4 linked regions of the Drosophila melanogaster genome follow. The gene in region 3 interacts genetically with the main gene of each other region. Each region holds a gene or a part of one and is shown on either strand. Other genes may lie near its edges. The genes, in order: gl, sgg, Pp2B-14D and sl.

Region 1 (7,193 bases), on a different chromosome or scaffold from region 3:
ACAGGCTCATGTCCTTAGCCAAGTTGTTGACATGAAACTGATACTTGAAGCGAAGTAAAAAAAAAAAGAAATATAAAAATTGAAAACTGGTTCGAATCTGCTCAGACTGTGGATCTGATTTTAACACACACGACGCTGGCTGGGCTTGACCTGAAATTCCCATCGATAAGGTAAGGTGATATGGGGGATATAGCTCGATACGTATGCGATCACTGCAAGCCTTTGCACTCAACTGATTTTGCCAATTGGCGGTGAATTCGATTTCGGGCGTGTGAACCAGGTGATCGATCCGAATTGGGATCTCTTCATAGCATTATATCTATAATATATCTTAGCTAAATATAGTCGAGTTGGGCTTAACACATCTATTTCATAATTTCCATTTGCTTTTCCATCTGGCCTGCGATTTATTCCTTGCTTTTTCTGCTGCGACCACAAATCGAACTATCAAATAACATTCAAACTATTCACGATTGTCGGCCCGGCGACAAGAGCATCGATCGATTGGCAGTCGTCATTGGCCGGGCTACAATTGAGAATCAGCGCCGGAGATAGAGATACAAAGATACACGCAACAGAAGCAGATACACACGGCCAGATACGCAGATACAAGCTACAGAAGCAGTCAGGGGGTTGCCGGCCGACTTGGCCGATGGACTGCCTCACTTAACCACAAAACAATGGAGCGAAGAGGAAGCAGAATGCCGACGAAGACGATCAATGGTTGGCAAGTCCGTAGCAACTGTCCCTCCCTCATCAGAGACCCTGCCAGAAAATTCCCATTTTAATATGTGAATTACTTTATTTTCAATACTTCTTGTATCATATTTATATCATACCAATTACATTGTTTATTAATAATCCCTATAGTACTTTTTGTTTATTATGTAATAAAATTACAATACCTTTATTTTAAGAAAGTAAATAATATGTTATATATCGAAAATATTCACTAATCACAAGCATATCAAATAGTCTCAAGTGATTTGATGTCCTCTTAAGAATTTAGCGACAATCTGCGGTTGTGCATCTATAGATTTTAAGGAAAAGGAACTTCATATCTTCTTTTCAACAAATAAAGTGAGGATACTTGTTTGTGAATTGAAAACAACGTTATTTGAACGGCCATCGATTTTGAAGTGTAACATTCTAGAGCACTAGAACTGCTTGCTAGCGATTATTTCTCGAAGTGTACTCTTTTTTCTCCCCGCCTCGTTGGTATCTGGTGTCGAGCTGTAAGATATTGGGTGACAAATAAAAACTACTGAAAACTGCTGCCGATGTAGCTGGCCACGTATGAATGGGCCTGAAACTCGGACTGGGCGGGATCGGCAGCGGAGGAGTCGGATATGGAGGCGAAGGCGAAGGCGGAGGAGGGTGACTTTGGATTTGGATGAGGATGTGGACGTGGAAGCAGCAGAGGGGTGGGTAGTAGCCGCAAAAGCCGGCAGACGGAGCGCATTGGTTGGCCAACAACGATGACGGCAGCGTTGTTGTGGTGGTGGATGGATGGAATCTCAGGAGTGGGCATGGGATATAGTGCGGGATGGCTTGGTGTGGGTATGGTATGGTATGGGTTTGGTATTGGAGGAGGGGTGCTTTCAGCAAGGGTCTCGAGTGTGTAGTGCTGCGTACTTGTGTCATTATAGCCGACCAAAGTGTGAGTGCGAGCGAGATTGTTGTTGCCGTTGTCTTTTGCGCCCTTTTGTCGCTTGTTTATAATTAAGTGAGTATGTTTTTTGCGCCCTGCTGCTTCCTCTGTAGTTGTCGGTTGTCGCTTTGCTGCCGCTCTGCCAATCCGATATATCAGTCGATTTTGGGCCGAGGTGGCTCGAACCGAACTGCAACTGACAATTAGTCGCCGTCTTATGCTCCTCGCCAAAAGTCGCTTCTTGCCCCGCACTCGAAAAATCGAAAACTGAAAACGCATAAAATTCAAATCGGAAAACAACGATCGTGTGTTACTACTTAAAACCGAGTCTTCGAAAAAAAAGTTACAAACATATTTTGCAAGAAAACGTTGAAATTCTATTGGTGATCTTGGTATCATGCCATTTGTGGATCTATTCAGAAGGTGAAAACGATTAAGAGTGCATATGTGAATAAAGAACGGAATAAACAATATTAAATCTGCAATAAAAAAGAAGAAAGAAAAAATGGAATACAACTAATGTATTTGAAATAAAACCTAATAACTGCAAATAGCTAATTAAAATGTCCTAACAATGTTTTGGCTAAGATCGAAAAAATCAATTCACTAAGAAGATTTTATCAATTTAACAATATCATAGCTTTGATCTCATTAAAAAGAAAAACAAAAATTTACTTTGATTTGCATGCATAAATTAGTTAAATAGCAATTTTAACGTTTTGTTTCTTTCAAAATGAAAGTTATTGTAATTTTAGTATAATTTTTTAGTCCTAACAATAATGAAACAATCGAATTGAAATCCATCTTCGTCATAAGAGCGATCTATAATTCGATATCTCTTTTAAATTTAGAGGTGAAGAATCTGTCATATTGTGTATCTAATTTCTGATTAGCTGTCGAACTTTATTTAAAACTGAATTTATTAACACTTTATTGAAAATATATGAAGATTAGATTTGATATTGGTATTTGATTGAATAAATAATAAATTGAATAATAGATTTGAATAAATGAATAGAAAGTGAATCTTAATTAGAATTTACCAATAATGTTCCGTCATCGCCTTGCAGTTGGAAATTAACGCATCAAGATGAAGCGTAGGAAAAGCAGGAACAAATGCGCGACTGCTGAGCCCAAACGTTCCAGAAGTGGAGTCATGTCATGGGATTGTTATATAAGGGTTCCAAACTCCTGAACACAATTCTGGGTGAGTGAAATCGGAAGCACCATTGCACAGATATGCAGATACAGCATATTGTATGGCGATACACGGATGGAAAGTCGCGAGTCGAGAGAGCAAAGCAAATGGCGGTCTCTCGATTTGTGTATTTGTGTGTGTCTGTGTGTGTCTCGAGGGGCGGAGCTAGTGCGCACAGTGGTTGTCATGGGAGCAAAAATGTATCCATGAGATACGCGCTGCTGGCGAGCATCTCTGGCGTACTTCCAGTGATTTTCATGCTGTTCTTTTTTTTTTTTTTTTGGCTGCGCAGATTCCCTGGAAGATCAAGAGGGTGGAGCTATGTACATATCGTGCGATGTCTCAAACGGCGGTCCTGTGGAACCAGAGACGGGCTATGTGCCCAACAATCCCCTGTTCGGCCTGGCGCTGGACAGCCCTCAGGTGAGTCCTGGAATCCTTTTTCGATTTCGCCTCAATATCTCCGGAAATCTTCGAGCGTTCGGTTGTGCTTGTTTCGTGGAAAGAACTTAGCTGAAATCTGTGATATACCTGAACTATTTAAATTTTATAACCAGGAAATAGAACCCAATACCGAAATTGTGGTTATTTTAATTTGCTATATCGGTAACTGAAAAATCAGACAGTTTTGTACTAAGAAGTTTATCATTTTCGTTTTTAAAGTAATCTATTACATTTTTAACCCATACGATTTTATCTATTGGGAAGTTTAATAGCTTAGAAATTCCTTCCATATGTAATACAATTAAACTCTCCTCAGAAGTCAGTATTAGAATGTAAAAATAGTTAAAATTTACTAAATGTTTCCACTAACTAACTAATTATTTTGTCTTAGTTACGTATTAGTACTAACTGAATGTATTTCATAACCGGTCTCAATCTCCATTTCCGTTTTCGCTCGTGCAGCAAGAGTGCGCCGCTTCCTGCGTCGGCTGCCTATCCTGCCAGGGCAGCACCGCCCTGCCCATCTCCTCGCTCACCAGCAGCGACTTCGACTGCGGCGGCTGTTTCGATCCCACGATTGGAGTGGGCGTGGGCATCGGTGGCGGCCACATCCAGATCAGCACGACACCACCGGCGAGCAGCGGCAACGGGAGCAGCAACAACGGTGCCGGAGGAGGCTCCTCGGGTAATCACGGCTACTGGAGCACCGACGAGATGGCTTCCACATTTCCCGGCCTACCGCCGCTGGACATCGATCCGCTGCCCAGCCTGTTCCCATTCTCGCCCTGCGGCGCTTCCTACAACTTTGCCGCCGGCAATCCGCACCAGGCCGCCTCACTCTCCTACACAGTGCATCCGCACCAGATGCTCATTTCGCCGAACTCCCACAATCATGGCCAGATGCACTCGCAGCACCAGCAGCACCAGCACCAGCAATCCCAAGTCCAGGCATCGCACGTAGGCAACTCTCTCCTCCAAAGCAGTGGTGGCAACAATATCGGCAGTAATGGTAGTGCCGGAGGAGTGGCCAACGCTGCCAGTTGCTACTATGAAACCAGTGCTGGAACGGCCGCACCACCTCCTCCTCCGGCGGCAGCCATGTATCCCAGCATGAGCGTGAACGTCAGCATGAACATGACCATGCACCATGGCTACGGTGCCGGTGATGCAGGCGGCGTGCCAATGCAGTGCTCCCAGATGAACTGGACGCCACCCAGTAACTCCACCTCGGCGGCAGCAGCAGCAGCGGCGGTAAATGTGCTATACCCACCGCTGCTGAGTCCCGGTCACTATCCTGCCTCGGCCACATATTCCTTTACAGCGGATTTTCGGGCACCGGCTCCCACGGGTCTGGGTGCCCTGCCACCGCTGACGGTGGGCGAAAAGGAGTCGCCATCGCCGCCGGCCAACTCCTCTTTGGCTGGCTACTATCCCACGGGGGTGGGCAATCAGGGATACACACCGCCCCACAAAAGTCCCACCAGCTATCAGGCAGCCGCCCTGGGCTTAAGTCTATCCGCCTTCGAGGACGAGGAGGATAGCAACGAGGATCTGGACGGCGATGAGGGCAGCAGTGGCGGCGAGATGAAACCCAATCTATGCCGGTTGTGCGGAAAGACATATGCCCGGCCCAGCACGCTCAAGACCCATCTGCGGACCCATTCCGGCGAAAGACCCTATCGATGCCCCGACTGCAACAAGAGCTTCTCGCAGGCAGCCAACCTGACGGCTCACGTACGCACACACACCGGCCAGAAGCCGTTCCGCTGCCCCATCTGCGACCGGAGATTCTCGCAGAGTTCCAGTGTCACCACGCACATGCGCACCCACTCCGGCGAGCGGCCGTACCGCTGCTCCTCGTGCAAGAAGTCCTTCTCGGACAGCAGCACCCTCACCAAGCACCTGCGAATCCACAGTGGCGAGAAGCCCTACCAGTGCAAGCTCTGCCTGCTCAGGTGAGTCCGGGATGGGGGATTTACTTACACCGTCCTTCCTCATTCCTAAACGAACGAAAATGGTTTTGCTTTTACTTTTACGTAAACCCTTAAAGCTTTAAAGATAGTTTAATAATTTCTATCGTTTCAATATAAAACTAACAACTTGAACAAAACTGAGACTGTTGCAAGCTTAAAAAAAAGGAAAACCAAAGATAATATGCATCATTCATTTTCATTCATGCATTTTCGTAAGATTTTCAACTTCAACTAAAGAACTGAAATTAAATGAAATAATAATTGTTTATTCAAATGTAATGCTAAAGATGAAAATTACCCCTTAAAAAAGGCTTAGGCCCCCAAAGAGCAGTCCTGGAACGTTATACATCGAGTTAATTGCTTTTTTGGTGTCCACAGATTTTCGCAGTCGGGGAACTTGAATCGGCACATGCGCGTCCACGGCAACAACAACAGCAGCAATGGCAGCAATGGGGCAACCGGAGTTGGTGGAGAGTCCTCCACCGGCAGCGGAGTTGGTGGTGGCAACAGCCTGCTCACATGACAAAAGCCAAGGAGTGCAGGAGGTTTCCAGCATTACCACCCCCCGCACACCCACCACATGCACCACCAGCACCACGCCCATCACCATCACCACGCCCACATGGGTAACTACGACTACGGGAACTACAGCATCGGCGATTATACTCCACCCGGAGCCACACAAAACTATTCAGGGTATTATTTCTGCGCACTCAACAAGGCGCCCAAGTTCGAACGATTCTACTAGGGACTAAAATCTGGAGGATCCCATCTGGATAAGAAACCTTAAAGGAGGACCACTCAGTGAATTATACGGGGATAGTCACTCTATCGCTGATAAATACAATAATGTATATGCCATACTCAACATTGCTGTAGAAAAATAATTTGGGTTCGTGTTAAATTGAAATCCTAATTGAACATAACGATGTAATAATACTCATAACCCAAATCCGCATCCAAATGCAGTTAAAAATGCTCAAACAATACAAATCTGAGGAATCGCGGAGAATCGAACAAAAGTAGGCCTAAGAGCTGCACTGTACATACTTATACATACTATATTTATTATATTCGCTTAGCCTAATATGCATTGAATCCAAGTTAGTTCATCCATTAAATAAGGTAGTTCAAAACACGCATAAATCTATTCCAAATTAGCCAACGAAATAGGATTTAAGACGGATATGAGTATGAATCATAAGACCAAACAACACAGCAGCACCCAAAACGAGAATATTTAAATTGGAATTGCCAAGGCATTAAACCCATAAACACCTGTATACGAATATAGAGTCCTAAGCTTAAACTAGACGTAGATGTAAGACAGGTGCTTTGATCTAAGCCAATTTTGGAGTATATAAAGAAAATAATAAATATACGAAAATTAAATACAGTAACTAATTGATTTCAACAATTGAAATATTATATAATTTAGGTAAGGAATTCAAAAGGCTTGACATTTAAACAATATTATCAACTAGGTAAACGGCTTCTGTGTCGCCTCCGCAGACCAGACGACTTCCATGCACATCGAAGGAGTTGATGGACTTGCGAACATTACTCAGCACTCCCTCCACATCGACCAGGGAGCGAACACGATCGCCAGACAACCAGGGGCTGTGTCCGTCTTTGTTATAGTCGCACCCGAGAACTTTGTTCTCTGACCACATCCACACCTCGCCACCTTCTGCGGCGGTGAACAGTTTGCTGGGATCCTTTTGATGGAAGCCTATCTCGTTGATGGGACTTTTGTGAGCGCTGAGATAGGAGGCGGGATAACTGAGGTTTCGCATATCCCAGACGGTTATGGAACCCTCTTCGCTGCCGCAAAGTAAAATATGTTGCTGCATCGGATGCTTGGCAAGGGACGAGACAAAGTTCGACTTGTCATCCTGGGAGGCCACCATAAAGGTGGTCTTCGGCT
Region 2 (4,541 bases), about 14 Mb from region 3:
GTGAAAAACGTTAATTGATCGATAACAAGAATGCGACAACGTCAGCAGATTCTTGGTGCCCATGTGTGCTTCTTTATTGACAAATTGTTGTATCAAAACAATTGATTGATAAACAATTAATTCGCCTTAGGAATTATTATATTTTATGACCGGAAGTGCATTATGAAACGCACTCTATTCACATTTGCAATTTGTCATTAAGGTTGCACCGGTTTACGACGCCATGGGCCAGATTCCGCATGTTATTATGTATATTTTGTTCGTATTTGCAGTGGCGACAACATTTCTGGATACCAAAAATGCCAAAGCCGCGATTCACTTCCAAAAATGGGCGTGAGAAATCGACGGGGGGCCAGCCATATAATTCCGACTTTTAGTCGTTTCAAGCGCGTCATCGTAAACGTCATTATGCCATACATACAAAAACAACAAGCAAACAATGTAAATCGAGACGTGCAAATATTTATAAGAGGATCAAATCGACAAGCAACGCGTGGCTTCCAGTGAAACAAAGTCAACTGCCTGCAAGTGGGAGGCATATTGGAGGGAAATGAAAGATAAGAGGCGGTGACAGCCGCATTAAACCCGACTTTTTTTTGTAAGGATTTGGCAGTACTAAGAACTAAGCATATGATCTTGCATAAATTGGATGGGAAGAACAAGTGTGAAAGTACATAGTATGTATACACAAAGTGCGAAACAATACTATGTTTATTGATTTTGGCGGCACGTCATGCAGTTTTGGCCCCCGAAAAAAGTCTGACGAAAGCAAAGCTCCACAATTGAGAAGCTTTTTAATGTGAAAAGCTCCGAGTTAATTCTTCTTTGATTATTCATTCGTCCGCCTTGAACCATTGACACATTTAGGGCGTGGGTGGGTGGTGGATAAGGAGACGAAAGAGCGCCGGAAGAGAGCGTGAGAAAGTCGGGTTTAAGAGAGAAAAGTGATCCCCGCACTAAAGATACAAATTGCTGTCTTTGAAAATATAAAAGTGGCGGAGAGCGAGAGGGAAGACGGAGGCAATAGGCGAATCAACAAACAAAAAACGCCAAGCGAAACAAACGAAGAAAATTAGCAAATGCTACAATACACGTGTGTGCGTGGTGTGTGTGTGTGTGTGCAAATATTTCTTCGTCTGTGCTATTTTTATAAAAAGAAAAAATGTTAAAGACAAGAAAAGAAAATAAAAAAAAACCGAAGCGAATGAGTGGGCAAGAGCAACAACAACTAACACACCAAGTAACTTCGACTCCGACTTTTTGCCTTTGGGGGGCACTCAAAGAAGAAGAAGAACGAGTGGAAGGAGAAGCATGTGGGGCAGCGGAGGAGCGGAGGAGCAGCCGGCGCAGTTCATGCGAATTTTTTTTGGGAATTTTCCACTGGCAGAGCGACAGCAGCAACAACATGAATAATTCACTTTTGGCCCAAGCCACCACAAACACCAGCGGTCACACTAATAGGCACTGTCATCCATGCTGAAAAAACTTAGGACTTTGGCTCCACTGCGCTGGGAGATCAATGAGGGGGATTCCCTGTTCACCGATTAACGTTACGAGAAAAAATTGCATTTTCAGCATCTTACTTGGAAAACCAATTAGAATCTGCCCAATAACGGTGATGGCACTAAGTTCCACATGGCTTTAATCAAAAGGCAATCAAAGTTTTAAAGCTATTGGTTTGATCTCTGGTGTTTTCCTTCAAACAGGCGCACACATTTCAACATTGTCGCCAATAAGGAATTGCATGCACGTACCGCAGCCCCCTCCGCCCCCCTCCCTTCACAAATGCTGTGACCACTCATTGAAGAACTTTTGCCCATAAAAGCAAATACTGATCGGCGGAACGGTAGATGGAATGGTAGATGGAGGAGTTTGGGGGGAGGGCTGAAGGGGCAACCTCCGCACCAATTATCGCGGAGACGCAGCAGCCGCAGAATTACACAGAGAACAATTTAAGTGTCGTGATAAATAAACAAACATTAATCACCACATCATTTAAACTTTTTTAGAAATCGTGCCTTAGATTTGTGTTGCGTATTCTCCATTAATTCCTGTTTACAAAATGTGCTTATAAAATATACAAACGAAATGGTACCAACAAGCTATGGACTAATTTGCGTTATTGACTGCGTTATTTTTTCAGTGTAAGCTGAAGCAGCAACAACAACGCTACAGTAAAACTGGTTTGAAGACGACGCCGCCGCTTCGGTTTGCCACTTGTTGTGCGCCTTGCGGCGGAAAGAGAGCGGCGATTGAGGGGGCCAGAGCAAGTGAGCGAGACAGGGGGATTGCAAAAACTTTTCCATTGATGAATTTTAAGTTTCTTCTTCTTGGATTTGGTAGTGAAGATGCACTGAAATCGTGGATACGTATACATCGCAACATATTCACAAACAACTATTGCGAGGAAGGGGCAAACAACGAGCGTTAGATTCCCACACAAATCGAGGTACTTTAAAGAGCTTTCTAGAACATTCGCCCCACTAAAAAAATACACATCTCCCCCAAGTATAAATAAAAATAAAAAAAAACATTAATACATTGGCAATGAGTGTGTGTGGGTTTTTGGGTTAAAGTTGGAGCATATTTCACAACGCCGTGAAATAAACTCCAATTCATTGGTCACTTTAGGCCATGTTGATAGCTCTTTTCGTGATTTTCTAATGGTGTCAGGCGGCAAAAACAACAATGCGGCAACTAATTAGATTTCAATGCATATTGAATTCGACTAGTTTCTAATTTTTATTTTTCTTTTGGAGACACATTACACTGCACACACTGTTGACACAAAAAATAAAGTAATCAGGCGCGTCACGATTTTGTTTCACTTTTTGTTTCGCCGTTGTTATTTATATTTATATTTGTTTCGTTTCGTTTTTTTTTTTTTTTGTCGCTGATAAAGCTACAAAAACAACAGGCAAATAGAGTCGCGGAATGGCTGAATGGAACGCGCCGGAACGAGAGGAGAGAACGACGCGCCTGCTCGATGGATTCAACGCGAGTGAGCGAGTCGAAGCATGGGCATCTACATCACATTCACATCAGCCGACAGCGTCGCCGGCAGCGCAGCAGCGCCTGCGCCGGCGTCCCGCAGCACAGCAGCGCTCGCAACGGAAGGACCACCTAACTAATCAATATTTCTACAACTTTAAATAAATGTCAACACCAGTTTATAAATACAGGCACCTTTCTAGGTAAGTTTGTCTCTACTAAGGCATGACACATCATTTTTGGTCTCTTCCAAGGAACATTTGATATAACTTTGATTTCTAACTGACTGACCGCAGCTGTACCGGAGCATTGAACGTTGCACGGTGGGCCGAAAGCTTTGCTTCGCTTCTCAAATGGAAATGGAATTAAATGAAAGAAGTATTTATGTTGTTTCTCACCCGAAAGAGAGCATCGCTGGCAGCTTGCTCCACACATTTGCCCCAATGTGCGCTAAAATTGATCGTCACATGGACGGCGAACGGCGAGGGAGGAAGCGGGGGAGCGTGTGCGGCGTGTGGGGAGCGAGCGAGCACACAGAGCAAAGGGGCGGGAAAGAGAGCGCTCGCGAAAGAATTTCTAGTCAGCGGACAGCTAATTTGCATGCGGTGCGTGAGTGTGCTAGCTGCATGTGCGAGTGTGCGAGTGTGTGCGTATTTGTTAGTACGCTGCGCCGGAATTTCTCATGTGTCGGCGACGCGACTTATGCAAAAATTAGGTAACCGAGAAAGAGATAAAGAAAGAGGCCGAAATGAGAGCGCGCGTGCCGATGAGTCAACAAAACAAAACAAAAACAGAAGAGTTAAAGAGTGGAAAATTCAGTGGGTGGGGAATGTGGGAGGTGGGGATGTGGGTGGCGAGGTCTTTTAACCACCGCTAATTGCGAAAGCATCGAAAAATGCAGCCGGTTCATTACGAGCGCCGCCCGAAAGTATGCAAGTCCCAAGGCCACAGCCATAAATGTTCGCCACAATCGAAATCTTAAACCCTGTATTGGTACATATTTCCACAAATTTCATTTGTAAACAAAATAACATAAACTCATGTAACTTAACCCATTTGGGCAACACTAGCTACAAATTCTGCGAAATTAGGCTAGCTTTACATATACGTAGCTTTTACTTATAAACTAATTAAACACTTAAAAACAATTACAATCTATAAGTTTGCTTTTAGCAGTTATCACCATATATATATATATATAGACTTCAATGTGGGAGAACAGACTTTTGCTTACCCGTTTATAGGAAGTTTGGTAATATGATAGTCAACTTACCTGGAAAGAAAATGAAGAAGAAAATTCAAAATTAGTTACGAGAACTTAATAATAATTAGCAATAACTTCAGCTGAACAAAGCGACCGGACACTAACTATTCACCGACTGGACAAACTGGCGCTCCAGATGTTTGTCCGGCGGGGGCTTGGAGGGGCCGCTCTCGATGGCCGTGCTCTTGACTTTCACATCGCGAGTGGGTCCTTGTTTAGCTGCCTTCTTGTTGGCCGATATGGTTACTGATTCTAGTGACTTGTGGTCAAGTCAAAATAGCAACGA
Region 3 (7,546 bases):
CAATTTAAAAAAGATTAAAAAATACAAGTTTATTAGTAATATATGTTACTTGCACAGGATTTACACAAAACAATTTCAATTCAATTAAGACTTTATTAATTAAATTATTGGATTAAAGATTTGGCAATTTAACAACTAATCACATCTATTTGAAAAACCAATTCGGCAATTGCTGAAATTTCAAAATACTCACATTGATTTCTGGTATTTTTCGTTTGCGCTCTTGCCTCTCGTTCACTCTCATACTTGGAAAAATATTCTTGAATTAAGACTTAAAACAGGTTCAAAATTTGGCGCCATCATTGAATACATGCATGTATTTAAAGAATTGTAATTTAAGCAATTAAGAAGAAAAATGATAACTTGACAATACTGCTCCCAAGGATAAAAAGTTAAGTGATCGAACGCCATAAAATGGAAAGTTTGTTGCTGATTTATTTTATTCCGTTTATATAGTATGTATATGTATGTATAATTTAATAATATAATAAACGTTACTCATTTGTTATCTTTATAATTGCTTTAAGAGGCGAAATGTCTTATATATGTATGTATATACCATGCAGCCGTCTCGTTCCCGCATTTTTTGATTCTGCTTTTGTCTGGGTATTATGTGTTATATTGAACGTTTTAATGCTTTTTAAATAGTTCCCATAAGTATGTTGGCATGGTCTTGACGTACATATTATCAAAATCTACTCATCTCCTCCTCAGCCGTTCTATTCAATTATTTACTTTTACTATGTGCCAGGAAGTTTTGCCTATGCCTCATGCAATAGTTATGTACTTTCTTTATCGAGGGAACTAAGCAAATGTATTGTTAGTCATACATAGTGTAGAATTATTAATACTTCTTAGCTTTATTATTTACCATGGCTCTTGATACACTCGGAATGCAAATCGCCCTAAGAGAATCCAAAATTTACAATTAATTTATTTCAGAAAATTATCTGAATATTGCCTACGTTTAATGGCTTAAAATGTATAGTTCTTTGATAATTAAACTATATTAAAAAAAAAAAATTAAAACTTAATTGTTGACCTATGCGTATTTTGGTATTAACAATTGAAATAAATATTTGTTGTTTTTCAAAAATTATACCTGAAATGTTGTCCATCAATAGAAACATTTGTTTATAGCCTAACAATATGGAATTTAGTTTTCAATTTCATTATTTTAAATCCGTAAAAACCCATACTTGTTGAAAATATTTGCGGCGATTTTCGAACATAAATGCCGATTGATTTTCTGAGTGTATACAATCATTCTATGGAATTGGTGTTCTTGGCGTTCAATACTCGAGACTATTGCAATTAAATGTGATTTGGGGGAACTCCCATTTCACTCGACTAACTAACTAAGTATGCATTTGCGGTGTAACAACATTAACAATTTTAACCACATATAGAACAGAAACTCTGAAACTTAAACGGCCCAACAGCTTTCATCAACTTTCAATAATTATATAGTTGTGGTGGAGGATTAACAAAAAAAAAAAACGCTATATATATATCTATATAAATATGGTGTATCTCTCAATTAGTTGAGTAAGTTGTTTCCATTTCTCCATCTTTTTTTTTTTTATAAAAGCTAAGAGGGAAACTCTGCGACTGCCGCCTCATCCTTGATTTGTTTCTTTTAGCTACGATTTAATTAATCTTGGTATTGTTACGATACGTGCATAGATCACTAAAACTAACTGTTTTCCAATGCCAACTCGGTATATAATATATATATATATCTGTATAAATATTTAGATTAGAGTTCAATGCAATTATTGGTGGTTGAAGAGTCGAAGCAAAAGTACAGCGTTAATATTCTTGGTTCGTGGATAATATGATCTCGATGAAGGCATTTCTTGCGTGAGTATGTATGTGGTATATCTTATAGCTTTTGATTTCGCATTGATAGTGGTTGTGATTAGTGATAAAGGAGAAGCTGATATCATCGGTTTTTGGGAAGAGGTGTAGGCGCAAATTGAGAACTTGATTGCCATCATTATCATTGAATTGATCTGAAACGCCGAAACTCATCCGTTTCTCATGTGTGTGCCATGCCTTATACTTACTTAAATACATCTCATTCGCTTAATCTCATTGCAATTAGCTCATACTAAGTCAAGGAAAATAAGTTTTGTGTTTGTGTGTGTGTGTGTGCTAGCGCTCTTTCTCTCTCAACAAAAATCGATTCGCTAAATTAGTTAATTAATTAATCGTTTAGTTCAATTTACACGCAGAAATATATTATACGTTATTAGGTTTACACAGTAATTTAATAGTTAAATATTTGATTTGCTATTTAAATGGTAAACGATCCGTTCTTTCAGTGTTCAAAATGCATTCACATCAATGGAAATCGATCGATCCTATTCATCAATTTATTAATTAGCTAGACTGTGATCCTCAAACAACGATTATCATCTTGTGTGATCTCTTATGGATTTTTGCTGCTTTTTCTTTGCTTTTGCTTTTGCCATTTGGTTGGTTTTTTTTTGTTTTTTGTTTTTTGTTCGCCAAGCTACTGATAAAACGCAAATAGTTAGTTATACACACACAGTCGTACACGTAAAATGTAACATATTAAGTCAAAAGTTAGATTATGCAACAATAATACATATACATATATTTAAGTATATATTTAAAAAAAAAAAAATAAACTCTGATTTCACTTTCAATGTTTAATTCGTATAAGGAACATTTATGGACTATTGCGGCACATATTGCAAATGGTTTCGAATTTGTTTGCTTGTTTCATTCGTTTCTTCTATGCAAGATTACATTTCTAGAGTTCAAGGATTACGATTATTACAAAAAATGACCTTTGCTCATTTCAAATTTCATTACACTTTCGGTTGCATCTCGGCACTGCGCCTCGATATTTCTAAATAATCATATGTATACATATATGTACGCTTCTTTTTTGCCGCTGCTAAATGTTTGGAACAGATTAGCGCTGGATTTTGTTTCCCATATCTCTTCAATTGGATTAGTGTTTCTTGCCTCTGGGGATTATGGGGATTCTGCTGGGGTTTTTCATCTTAAATTATCGCATTATCGCAGGGGGAGGGATTTCAATTAGCTCTTTCCGTTTTGTTCATTTTCCATTTTAAAATTTGCCCATTTCAGTTTATAGTTTATACATTACAACTTAAGCTAGGTTATGGGTTACGTTATGGGTTGGTTTTCTTCTATCGCGAAAGGGAATTTTCCGTTTTGGGGGCCGGCGCGCCAAAGTATGCCACACATAATTTTAATATCCAATGTGCGCGCGCCTGCGTAAAAACAAATCTCTGCTCCGTGCCGTCGGTTTGGAGGCTCTGGGCCATGGACATAGACATGGGCATGGAGCTGGTGCGGGATCACATACGAAATGCAGGGGGTTATGACAATTACTTAGAATTAGAATTGGTTTTAGTATTTAAGTTGTTGCTCTGCCACATTAAGTTTAATTAAGGTTCCGTTCGGTTGGTGTTCTTTGTGTTGCCTCCGCTCCGCTCCACTCAGCCCCTCCTTCAGACCAATTCAGACCTCGCCAGACTCCACCGTGCCGCATCTGCATCTGCATCCTCGTCCTGCAGCCGCACTAGATGGCACAGCTTACCCATGTCCAGCCCCATTTTTGCCGCCCTGCTGACTGTGCTGATTCGGATCCTCGCTGGGCGTGGGCGGCTGATCCCGCCGCGGCGGCATCCGTTCGTTGACGGCATCCAGGCCCTTGGCCTCCGCGAACGAGGTAATCTTGTGGTTGGGCGAGAAGCCCTGCATGGCGTTCTTGAGCGACTGCTTGCCGCCGGAGAGGGCGCCGAGGGGCAGGGCGCCCGTGGGCGTCAGGCCCTTCAGCTGCAGCACCGACTCGGACTCCTCGCGCAGCACGGAGAAGACGCGCGCCATCTTGCCAATGGCACGGATCTTGTTGCGTATCACCTCCTTGCGCAGCGCCGCCTCGTCGTCGGAGAGCGGCTCCTCGCTCTCCTCGGTCATGAGCTCGTCGTCGGAGCAGATGTTCAGCACGTTCACCAACATCTCGGTGACCTTCTCGCCCACGAAGGGTAGCGACCAGGTGAACACGTCCATGAAGTTGGGCAGCCAGTACGGGTGCGGCGAGCAGTTGAATTGCCGGATGTTCATCACGTTGTTCTCGTACTTCAGCACCGCCGCCTTGTTGTTGTACACGTCGAGATAGTTGGGCGCCGAGAAGATGGTGATCAGCGAGGGGAAGCCGGTGGTCTGGCTTTTGCGGTACATGCGGTAGCCGGCGTCCTGCGCCTCGTGCGCCCGGATGATCGACAGCAGGTTGTTGTTCTGCAGGAAGTCGCAGCAGGCGGCGTAGCTGTAGAAGTACGAGCATCCGCGCACGGAGTTGTGCGTGTAGAAGTCCGAGTTCTTCTCGTTGCCAAAGTCCTCCAGGGGATCGGACCACAGCAGGTCGCACATGGGGCCAAAGGCGGGCGGCTCCTTGAAGCGGTCGAGCCGCCGGATGTCCTCCAGCTCGTGTATCTCCGGCGACAGACCGCCGTGCACGCAGAGGAACTGCTGGTTCATTAGCGCCGCCAGCGGCAGGCAGTCGAATGCGTCCATGCAGGCGTCGTACACGCGCTCCGAGTACTTGATCTTGCACTCCTGCTTGAAGGTGAAGTACTCGGTTAAGTGCCGGCACTCGTGGTTGCCGCGCAGCAGGAACAGCGTCTGCGGATAGGTGATCTTTAGCGACCACAAATACAGGACGCACTCGATGCTGAAGTAGCCCCGATCGACGTAGTCGCCCAGGAACAGATACTTGGTGCTCGCGGGCGAGCCGCCCACTTCGAACAGCTTCATCAGGTCGTAGAACTGGCCGTGGATATCACCGCACACCGTCACCGGCGCCTCAATATCGATCATCGTCTTCTCCTGACGCAGCAGGGCGGCTCCGTCCTGGATGATTTTCAGGGCGGGCGCCTCCTCGATTCTGCCCTCAAGAATGAAGTGCTGCTTGAGCAGCTCATGGTTGGGCTTGCCGGTGCGTTGGTCGAACACCTCCGCCAAGGTCAGCTTGTGGCTGGGCGGGAAGGGAACGCTGTCCACCACCCGTTCCTTGGTGTTTACTGCCGTGTGGCCGCCGTGCAGCTTTCCAGTGCTCGCTCCTGTGCCCGTTCCAGTGGTGGGACTGCTGTTGTCGCTGTTGTTGCCCGCTGCAGCGGTACTGCTGCTATTATTGTTGTTGTTCGAGGCGGTACTATTGGCATCTGTGGCTTCCGCCGATCCGGCACTGACGGTGCGGGCACTTGTTGCCGCCTGGGCAACGCTGCTGCTCTGGTTATTCGAAGACATGGTTGAGACTTCTGTTTCTGTTTCGGTTTTTGGCTCTGCTTCTACGGCTACTGCTTCCCGTTTCCTTTTTCCTGGTTTCTATTCCGGGATTCGGAATCGGACTGCTCCTCTCCCGCTCCCACTTCCACTAGCTCGCTCTCCCGCTCTCGCTCTCCCGCTCTCGCTCTCTCACGGCTCAGTTCTGTTTCCACTACCCACACACACGCACACGCACACTCGCTCACTCACTCACTCACACTCTGGTACTTTCCCTGGCTGCTGCTGCTGCTGCTGTGTGGTTGTTGCTGCTGCTCCTACTGTTGTTGCTATTGTTGCTGTTGTTGTTGGAGTGCCTGGTGAGCCGCTTTATCGCCTTCCAGCTTTGATTCGCTTTCCTTTACTTTCCGCTGGCTTTGCTTTGATTTTGGAACGCTGACTCCGCTGCTTTCTTCCGTGGCCTGCGCCGCTGGCCTAGCCGTTTTCCAAAAGTGCTGCTTTCACTTAACAACAATCATAGTCACTCTGTTTCAGTATTTGCTACTTTTTTCGCTTCGGCCCTGCAGACGTCGTAATTTCTCTCTTTCGCTACGTTTTTTTTCTCGCTTTTTTTAATGGAATTTTCTGCAGTGTGGCCGTGGCTCAAAAGCTCAAACTTACTACACGGCCGCTGGAATGTGTACTCTAGTCGAGACTCGCACCTGGAATGGAAGTCATGGAAGTAGTCGAGTAAGGTACGTGCAAAATTATATCTTTCTCTGTATATTTAATATTCTAAATGAATACGCTTACTTTTATCTCCTTTCTAACAATATATTCACTTTAAAGATGTAGATGGTGGCGCAAAATTAAAATCTGAACAAATTCCGCACAGCAATGTACCACAAGGTGCTAAACTTTGATAATTATATCCAATTGGACTTGGTACATATTCAAAATGTCAACTGGAAAACATTTTATTTTAAAAAAGCTTAAGCTATCAATTAAGCCGTTCATCTTAATTATTCTTTAAACGTAGTTAACTAAACATTATAAAATGAATTAAAATTAGAGAATATGAGAGCCCAGATGCTGAATTTATCAATATAGGTAAAAACCTCATTATTGAAATTCTTGGCCACCTGTCGGTTTCGCCCCACTTACACTTACCTCTTCCTTAATTTTCGAGCAAATTCTGGACATTACTCACTCAGTCCACCACTTCTCCAGCCTTCTACTGGTGGATATGCTTCCCGGGATTAAATATGTATATGCTTATTCTGAAATTCCCCGGTGGCGAAATCGACTCAAACGAACTTTTAGAGGAAATAATAAATGTGCGCGCATTTTATTCTCAGGATAGGTACTTGTATATTTTTTTTAATGTTTTTGTATTTCTTTTTTGGTTGTTTTTGTTTTTTTTTTTTGCTTGTTCTTTTTTTTTCGTTTTTGTTAATATTAATTATGTTAATAACATTGATAATCATTTTGTTTTCATTGGGTTTCTTCATTTTGTTTTGCATTCACTTAAGGTTAAAACTTGTTGTCTGCATTTTGTTGTTGCCTTCATTTATTCTCCATCGTCTACATCTCCATTATCATCATCTTTATCTTGTAAATTAATTTGTTATCTTCCTTGGATTGCGTACAATTTTTGTCACAACGGCGCAAATTTTATGTAATTTTTGCCAGCCAGCTGCCCCTTGCAATACAGTTTATAAATTTGTTTATCCATTAACTTTGGTTTCGGTTTAATAATAAAATTGAAAATTTTTAAGAGATTTATCTAGATGTGATGTTTTCTTGTTTGTTAATTTGTTATGTTGCATTTTTAATATTATTTATTTGGTTTTTGGTTTTCCTTTCCCATCTTCCATCCATTTGTTTTTTGTTTTTCTTTAATATAAGTATATAAACTTTTTGCTTTGACAAAGTTTTTCCAACTTATATTTATCATACATGTTATATATAAATAAATGTTTAAATATATATAAAATATGCATTTAAATTGATTTATCCAAAAGGTAAAGTTTTAATTGTTTTTTGGTTTTTTCTTCACTTGGTTTTTCTTGTTTTTTTTTTGTTTTTGCTTTTCTTTGTCCATTTCTTTTTTGTTTATAATATATATTAAATTGTTTTCTTTTTCGTGTAAAGTTTTTAAAGCATTCGAGGGCAGGAAGTAGATGTTGAAAAATACATGTATCAAAAAAATTAAGGTAACGTATATAATTACATACATACATACATATGATGAAAAGGTTTTCATTCGCATTGCAATGGA
Region 4 (7,979 bases), 210 kb from region 3:
TAAAATATTCATGATCGACAACGCCGATCTTTAACAAATTGCTATGATTAGCAATGAAACATTTTTGAAGCTCATTTAATTTTAGAATTTCTACATCTGTTAATGTTGGTTTTACTTCCAACTTTCTAATTTCCAAAATAATTTCGGACTGCTTCTTAAGGAATTGAATAGTCTTTTCTGACATCATTTTGAAAATTTTTTGTAATTTCTTAATATATATAGTACGTGTATATGTATTTTATATGTATTTATATATATATGTGTGTTTGGATAAACAGAAAATTCTTGTTTTGACTTAGCTGATGTCGTTGTTGTTGCTGCTGCTGTTGCTGCTGTTGTTGCTGCTGTTGCTACTGCTGTTGCTGCTTCTGCTGCTGCTGTTGTTGCTGCTTCTGCTGCTGGTAGAGGCTCCTTTGAATTTGACTTCCTTCTCTTCTTTAAGGCTCCGTCGATGTTTAAAGATGATTTTTTTTTTTTTTGCACGTTTTATTATTTTTGTAGTCCAGTCAGATTTTTTGTTTTTTAGCCATTTATTTCGGCATTTATGCTCTTTTGGCATATACACTGCACTCTATTTATGAGCTGATTTAATGCTATTAGAGCATTTATAAGGCACTGTTTTCAGGCACTTTTTATTTAATTTATGCTCTTATGGCATATACACTGCACTCTATTTATGAGCTGATTTAATGCTATTAGAGCATTTATAAGGCACTTTTGTTATGCACTTTTTAATTTCACAATTGCTGATGTATGGCCTCAAGCACGCCTTACCACAATTTATAATGGTACACAAAGCAACCTTTAGCTATAGACTATAAGGTGCTTGTTTTAAAACATAAAAGATTCTTTTGTATCTTTTGCTTTTTATATTTATACTCTGTTCCTTACCTTTGGTAGGGGGAAACAAGAGTCACTTATTTTTGCTACCTTTAGCTGTAAGATGCTTAAAGGAGCTGGCCTTTCTCTGAGTTCCTTACCTTTGGTAGGGGGAAACTGCAGAGTCGATTAAAGGCTCGATTGACCAAATGTAAAATCCCAAATAAGAAGACTTTACTCGTTGAGTTTTTGTAAGAAACTGATTTTATTTGGAAATATCTTCGGTTTAAATAGGTGACATGAGAATCGCATCTTAAAGTAAATGGCCTACGCAGAGGCCTAAGTAAATAGTCCCCGCCTTATCGAGGTCCCACGCTCGGGCACATCTGCCTATCTTGAGCGGCGAGGACCTTATCTGTGGTCTCCCACTAAGGGACTATTTTAGGAGGCGGGGAACGATCTCAAGTGACTGACTCATGTAGTGTGCACTTAAATTACATGTTTTTGAGCAATGCACCCATGTCGCCTTAGATAACAAAATCCTAAATATAATTTATCGCTCTCGATTCATTTACATAAGATATGAACGGAGCCCAAAATTGTAAGTCTTTAAATATATTCGTGTTCATGTGTGAACAGGTAGAAAAGCAGACAACAACAATCAGTCAATTGCCTAAGCTTATTAATTTGTAAATCTATTTTAAATACAATATCAAGAAAACTTATGTTCGTTTGGTTTCAAGTTAGTTAGTTAGGAATTCTTCAGGTCGGGATTTATTTTCCTATCTACATAAGGTGAGTTATAATAAAAGCTTTAAGCTTCTTCGATTTGGTTGGTATGCTTAGTTTTGCTTTATTCAAAACTAGGAATACTATTTACATAACGAATTTTTGAATCGCACTTCAAAACAAAAGATAAAACTGGTCACACTTTAATATTTCAGTTATTCAAGTATGTAAACAATGGAGCAATTTTTAAGCTAAACTTTTAAATAAAATAGTCAATTTATTTTTTTATTTCCTCACAATTCGAAATACACCGCAGTGTGAACGCCCCATTTGCGTGGATTTAGTATTTTCTGTACCCACATTACGGCCTGGCAACACTGGCACTTTCCTCAACAGCTGGCTTATCTTATCTGCTTCTGTGGTATTTTTTGGGTACAATTCGGATATTGCATTGTTAATCTCGGTTTATTGAGTCCCAGTGGCCGTGATTTGTGCATCGACCAGTTGGAAGAGAGGGAGCAGTTGATCTGCGAATAGTTCCACGCGCTGGCACCCATAGTTTGTATGCATTGCACTTAGTCTGGCGATCGGTTGGCGAGGCGAGAAACAACCTGTGGCAGCCAGCGGATGAGAACTGGATTCGATAGGAATCGACACGTTTGGACCGGACAGGATGAGCTGCTTTAGTGCGATGAGTGCCCCGCTGCTGGGCGAGATGGAGCAGACCATTGGTATGCTGGAGCGCGGCACCATCGTGACCAAGTTGTATGGGAAACAGCGTCGTCCGGATCGCCGCCACCTGATGCTCATACGAGAGACACGACAGCTGCTCTGGGCAACGGTGGCCACACAAACGCCACGCACCGACTACGAGGGCGCCATACAGCTGCGGGAGATTCGCGAGATACGGGTGGGCAAGCACTCGAAGGAGTTTCGCCTGTTTGCCGACGACTGTCAGCGCTTCGAGTCCAGCAAGTGCTTTGTCATACTGCACGGCAATCACTTCAAGCTGAAGAGCTTCTCGGTGGTGGCTCTGTCGGAGATCGAGGCCGACAATTGGGTGCGGGGATTGCGTTACATGGTTAAGGACACACTGGGAGCACCCTATCCCTTGCAAATTGATCGCTGGCTGCGTCGCGAGTACTATCAAATCGAGAATGTTAACACGCATTCCGCCAAGGCCACGGAACAGTCGCCAGCCCAGGTGACCATTAAGGACTTTAAGCTCTTTTTGGCCGGAGTTAGCTGTAAGATGACCACCGGCAAGTTCATGGAGCACTTTACCGAGGATGTGCGGCGCAAGCACGATCTCAAGTTTGATGATTTCTCGCGGCTATATCAGAAGTTGCTGCTGCCCAACGGATTTGCCAGCGTCTTGTCCGGATCGGGAGTGGCCAACTTTCCCTATTCGGAGGACCAACAGGTGGTGCGACCGGCGGAGCTGAAGCAGTTCCTCGAGACGGAACAGCGCGATGTGAGCGCCAGTGAGATCAGTAGCGCAGCCATTGCCTCCTTCATTCGGGACTTTGTTCAGGACGTGGAACGTGATGTTCAGGAGCCGTATCTCACCTTCCCGGAGTTCGTCGACTTTCTGTTCTCCAAGCAAAACGACCTGTGGAACAGCAAGTACGACCAAGTGTTCATGGACATGAACCTGCCGTTGTCCTCCTACTGGATCGCATCGTCGCACAATACCTACCTGACGGGCGATCAGTTCTCCAGTGAATCCTCCTGCGAGGCCTACGCCCGCGCTCTTCGCATGGGCTGCCGTTGCATCGAGTTGGATTGTTGGAACGGGCCCGACAATCTGCCCTACATATTTCACGGCCACACCATTACCTCCAAGATCAAGTTCATGGATGTCATCAAGACGATTAAGGATCATGCGTTCACCAGTTCCGAGTATCCGGTAATATTGTCCATAGAGCAGAATTGCTCCCTGGAACAGCAGCGGAATATGGCGCAGGCCTTGATCGAGGTAAGTTGACCTAATCGAATCTATTAATAACAACAATTTATATATTCCATGCAAACAGGAGATCTGCATGTTTGCTTTTTGATTCATTCGCTGTAATAATGAGTTCTTTTATGGCTTTCTGTGAGATTGCCTAACTTAATATATAATTGAAATGGATTTTGTATATTTCGATAGTTGGGAATATGTATGACAATATGAAGAATTCGCTTTTTATTCGTTTGAATCTAATTATAAATGTAACAGAGCAATATTTTTAGTTACTTAGATTTCAAGACGATGGTAATTAGATATTTCTTGATGCTTTAAGTATTAATCGCATAAAAATCCATTGACTTATACCTTTTATGACCCATTACAGGTTTTCGGGGATATGCTGCTTACGCAACCTTGTGATCGAAACGAGCAGCACTTGCCATCGCCATACCAGTTGCGTCGCAAGATAATCCTGAAGCACAAGAAGTTGCCGCAGTTTGACGACATCGCGAATGGGATTTCTAGCACGGGTTCACTGGGCCATAGATCATCGTTGGGCGGAGCGGGCGGTGGAGCGCATGGGGAGAACGATGGCGAGAATGTGCGCAAGGTGTTCAAGGAGGGACTGCTCTACTTCAAGGATCCGGTCGATAAGTCCTGGAATCTTTATCAGTTCGTTCTGACCCATCAGGAGCTAATCTACTCCTCTGAGATCAACGAGTCACGCAACGGAAACTCCGAGGATGATGACTTTGGGCTTTCTTCGTCGTGCTCCCTAAACAGCAATATGCAGCAAAAGCAAAAGGATACCTCGGCCAACGATGAGCTGCACTTCGGCGAGAATTGGTTCCATGGGAAACTTGAAGGTGCGTTTATTGGTTGACATATATGCAGTATATTCCATTTGTTTCGTTAACAATTTGCATTTTAGGTGGCAGAAAGGAGGCTGATGATCTACTAAAGAAGTACAAACACTTTGGCGATGGTACATTTTTGGTTCGGGAATCGGCCACGTTTGTGGGAGACTATAGCCTTTCGTTCTGGCGACGTAATCGCCCGAATCATTGCCGCATCAAGTTAAAGCATGAAAATGGATCGATCAAGTACTATCTAGTGGAGAATTTTGTATTCGATTCACTGTACTCACTGATCGTTTATTATCGCAAGAATATGCTGCGTAGCTCAGAGTTTTCGATTATACTGAAAGAGCCAGTTCCGCAGCCGAAAAAGCACGAGGATCAGGAGTGGTTCCATCCGAACACCACCAAGGAGCAGGCCGAACAGGGTCTATACCGGCTGGAAATTGGTTCGTTTCTAGTGCGGCCATCGGTGCAGAGCATTAACGCTTTTGTCATTTCGTTCACAATCAATCGAAAGATCAAGCACTGTCGCATTATGCAGGAGGGACGCTTGTACGGCATCGATACAATGAACTTCGAGTCTCTGGTCTCGCTGATCAACTATTATACCCGAAATCCACTCTATCGCAATGTTAAGCTCAGCCATCCGGTGTCGCAGGAGCTGCTGCGTCAGGCGCTAGCGGAGGCGGCACAGGGTGATCATAGTGGCGGTCACGATGACAACGGTGCCTCCAACTACATGGGCTCCAATCTGGAGGAGAATGTCACGTGCAAGGCGCTCTACAGCTATAAGGCGAACAAGCCAGACGAACTCTCTTTTCCCAAGCATGCCATCATAACGAATGTCCAGAGGGACAACTCGATGTGGTGGATTGGAGATTATGGTGGCATGATCAAGAAGCATCTGCCGGCAAACTACGTTAAGGTGAGATGCATATATAGATTTATTTGAAATTCAACTATATTCAACTCTTGAAAATTCCAATGTCTAGGTTATCGATTCAACTACCGAGGACTACAATTCGCTGAACGAAGAGGGCACGGATGGACGCACCGATTCCATTGAGATTTTCGGAGCTGTTGCCTCGCTCTTTGAGTCCAACGATCCGGGGATTATTTTCAAGCTGCAGATACAAACGCCAACGATGCAGAATCCGTTTGTGATTGGCTTCGACAATCAGGAGACGGCGTACGAGTGGATAAAGGCAATCCAGGAGGCAGCCCTTATCGCCAGTCAGCTGGCATCGGAGAGGCGGAAAAAGGAGCGCACTGCCCGGGTGGCCAAGGAGATGTCCGATCTGATTATCTACTTCCGCAGCGTGCCGTTCCGCGAGCACTCGTGGATATTTCAGGAAATGTCGAGTTTCCCCGAAACGAAGGCCGAAAAGCAGTTCTTCCAGCAGAACACACAACTGTTTCTCTCCTACCATCGCAATCAGATTAGCCGAGTGTATCCGAAGGGTCAGCGCCTGGACTCGTCGAATTTTAATCCCATGCCATTCTGGAATGTTGGATCCCAGATGATCGCACTGAACTATCAGACAGGCGATAAGGCCATGCAGCTGAATCAGGCCAAGTTTCGGAATAATGGACAATGTGGCTATATCTTAAAGCCATCGTTCATGAAATCTGACAGCTTCAATCCGAACAATCCGCTGTGCGATGGCCTAAGCGAAGTTAAAGTTAGCATACGTCTGATAGCCGCACGTCATCTATTCCGGGGCGGCAAATCGAACAATCCGCAGATCGTGGTCGAATTGATTGGCGCTAGCTTTGATACGGGCGTTAAGTATCGCACCAAAGTCAATGAAAATGGTTTCAATCCGGTGTGGAATGAATCGTGCGAGTTTAACGTGCGTAATCCACAGTTTGCGATCCTTCGCTTCGAAGTGCAGGACGAGGATATGTTCGCCGAGACGCACTTCATCGCCCAGGCGTGCTATCCGCTGACCTGCATTCGCCAGGGCTATCGCAGCGTCATCCTACGAAATAAGTTCAGCGAGGAGCTGGAATTATCGTCCCTGCTGATCAACATTAAGATAGCAAATGTTACCGCACCGTAAGAGGATTGCTGAGTTAGCTGGATCAATATCAATGATTCCAAATCGAGTGTTTGCGAAAACAATTGCGCTAGATCAAAAGGAAAGCGAACTTAATTCGCAAAAGCAATTTATCAACAACTTGTACATAAGAACATTTCATCGAACTATGAACCTGATTCTCTCACTTGTAATTTGTCTAAAAAGCTTAGGATCTGAAACGTATGATTTAGATTTAGATTACTTTCTATACACATCAGCAGTTATGGTTAGTTCATACTATACAATGAGTATTCAAATGGTAACAATGAATTCTGAACTCCTGGAACTGAAATCAAGTTTATGTAATCCGTATAATTTGTACACTTTTCCATAACACTAAGCATTCAAGTCTGTTGTCCTCTAAATGTTGTATTTGTGCGTGAGATTGATTCAGGAGAATAGAATGATACGAATATGTTTTAACTATTCGTCACCTCATTATAAGCATAAGCAAACCAGATTTGATTTGATTTCGATTTAGGGAACTTGAGCTATTTCCATTTTACCAGTTTTACCATCAAAAGTTAAGTACATTAAGTTGATTCCAAAATTAGAAATAGAAACAATTCATAAACAGCTCAATTGGCATCAATTTAATGGGCATTTGATATTCAGTTTCAGGATCAGCTTTTCATAAGTATTATATTACAATCTTCTTAAAGACTTTTAACTGAAGAAAATAGACCACTTTCATATGTTATCTGGAAAACTATTTTAGACCTTTCTCTTAGCACAAATACTCAAACAGCATTTCAATCATTTAGCATTTACCTTTTTTATTTTCTCTTTTAAAGCTTAAAGTAATAATACAATTTATAAAAAAAAAAGGGCAAAGGAAATTTAAACCACTTTGATTACATATGTCTTCCAGTTGTTTAACAATTACGATATACCACATAATTGTGTCTATGTTATTTAACCACGATTGTTGTAGCTAATGTTACAAAAACTAAAAGTTTGCAAACAATATTAAAATAAAATGTAATTATTCAATTACATTTAAATGAACGTGCCTTAAAATTCGAAATGATCGAAATTTTAAATGTTTGAACGTTAACTATTGAAGTACACCTGTTGCTAAAATAACAAATATTTGAAAAATAATAATATAGCTCAAAGATATCTATTTTTTATAAAATCAAAGTTCTAACTTAGCTTCTTCTCTAAACTGCGAAATCTAAATATCTAAAGCCTAAGTTCAATAGACGTATTATTACTAAATGCATTATATAATTTATATATCTAGATATTCATAAAATGCACTAGTCGATTTAAGAAGTGGAAATTGTGCTCCCTATGCGAATCATTTAGGATTTTAATCTGAAACTATTTGCATTCCATACGAATGCCCCACTGAAACGATCGATATCATTTGTCTTGCACTCGCATTTAATTATTTAACAAACATTCTGCTGTTTCCATTCGCACAATAGTTCTAATTTGGACATTTTGCGCGTTTGAGCGCATTAGCAAATCATGCTTAGTATATATGTATGTGTATATGTACCCAAAATGTATTTCATTTGTACGTTCCGTTTT

What was found.
Region 1: of Pp2B-14D (region 3) and gl, changing one suppresses a phenotype caused by changing the other (phenotypic suppression), as found in Drosophila melanogaster (one study listed by BioGRID).
Region 2: of Pp2B-14D (region 3) and sgg, changing one suppresses a phenotype caused by changing the other (phenotypic suppression), as found in Drosophila melanogaster (one study listed by BioGRID).
Region 4: of Pp2B-14D (region 3) and sl, changing one suppresses a phenotype caused by changing the other (phenotypic suppression), as found in Drosophila melanogaster (one study listed by BioGRID).

Annotation. Positions count from the first base shown.
Region 1 is NT_033777.3:18,367,398-18,374,590, reverse strand, and holds gl (glass), read left to right. Parts: upstream 1-1,852; 5' UTR 1,853-2,074; intron 2,075-2,721; 5' UTR 2,722-2,812; coding exon 2,813-2,858; intron 2,859-3,141; coding exon 3,142-3,272; intron 3,273-3,755; coding exon 3,756-5,248; coding exon of another isoform or gene 5,249-5,252; exon of another isoform or gene 5,253-5,644; coding exon 5,645-5,789; coding exon of another isoform or gene 5,790-6,014; 3' UTR 6,015-6,664; downstream 6,665-7,193. Other genes in the region: Nup43 (nucleoporin 43kD), read right to left, coding at 6,730-7,193. UniProt on the Drosophila melanogaster protein: Transcription factor required for gene expression specific to photoreceptor cells.
Region 2 is NC_004354.4:2,645,099-2,649,639, reverse strand, and holds the start of sgg (shaggy), read right to left. Parts: upstream 3,004-4,541; 5' UTR 2,769-3,003; intron 1-2,768.
Region 3 is NC_004354.4:16,554,098-16,561,643, forward strand, and holds Pp2B-14D (protein phosphatase 2B at 14D), read right to left. Parts: upstream 5,920-7,546; 5' UTR 5,311-5,919; coding exon 3,598-5,310; 3' UTR 530-3,597; downstream 1-529. UniProt on the Drosophila melanogaster protein: Calcium-dependent, calmodulin-stimulated protein phosphatase. This subunit may have a role in the calmodulin activation of calcineurin.
Region 4 is NC_004354.4:16,348,365-16,356,343, forward strand, and holds the start of sl (small wing), read left to right. Parts: upstream 1-1,950; 5' UTR 1,951-2,221; coding exon 2,222-3,526; intron 3,527-3,884; coding exon 3,885-4,365; intron 4,366-4,430; coding exon 4,431-5,284; intron 5,285-5,351; coding exon 5,352-6,422; 3' UTR 6,423-7,979.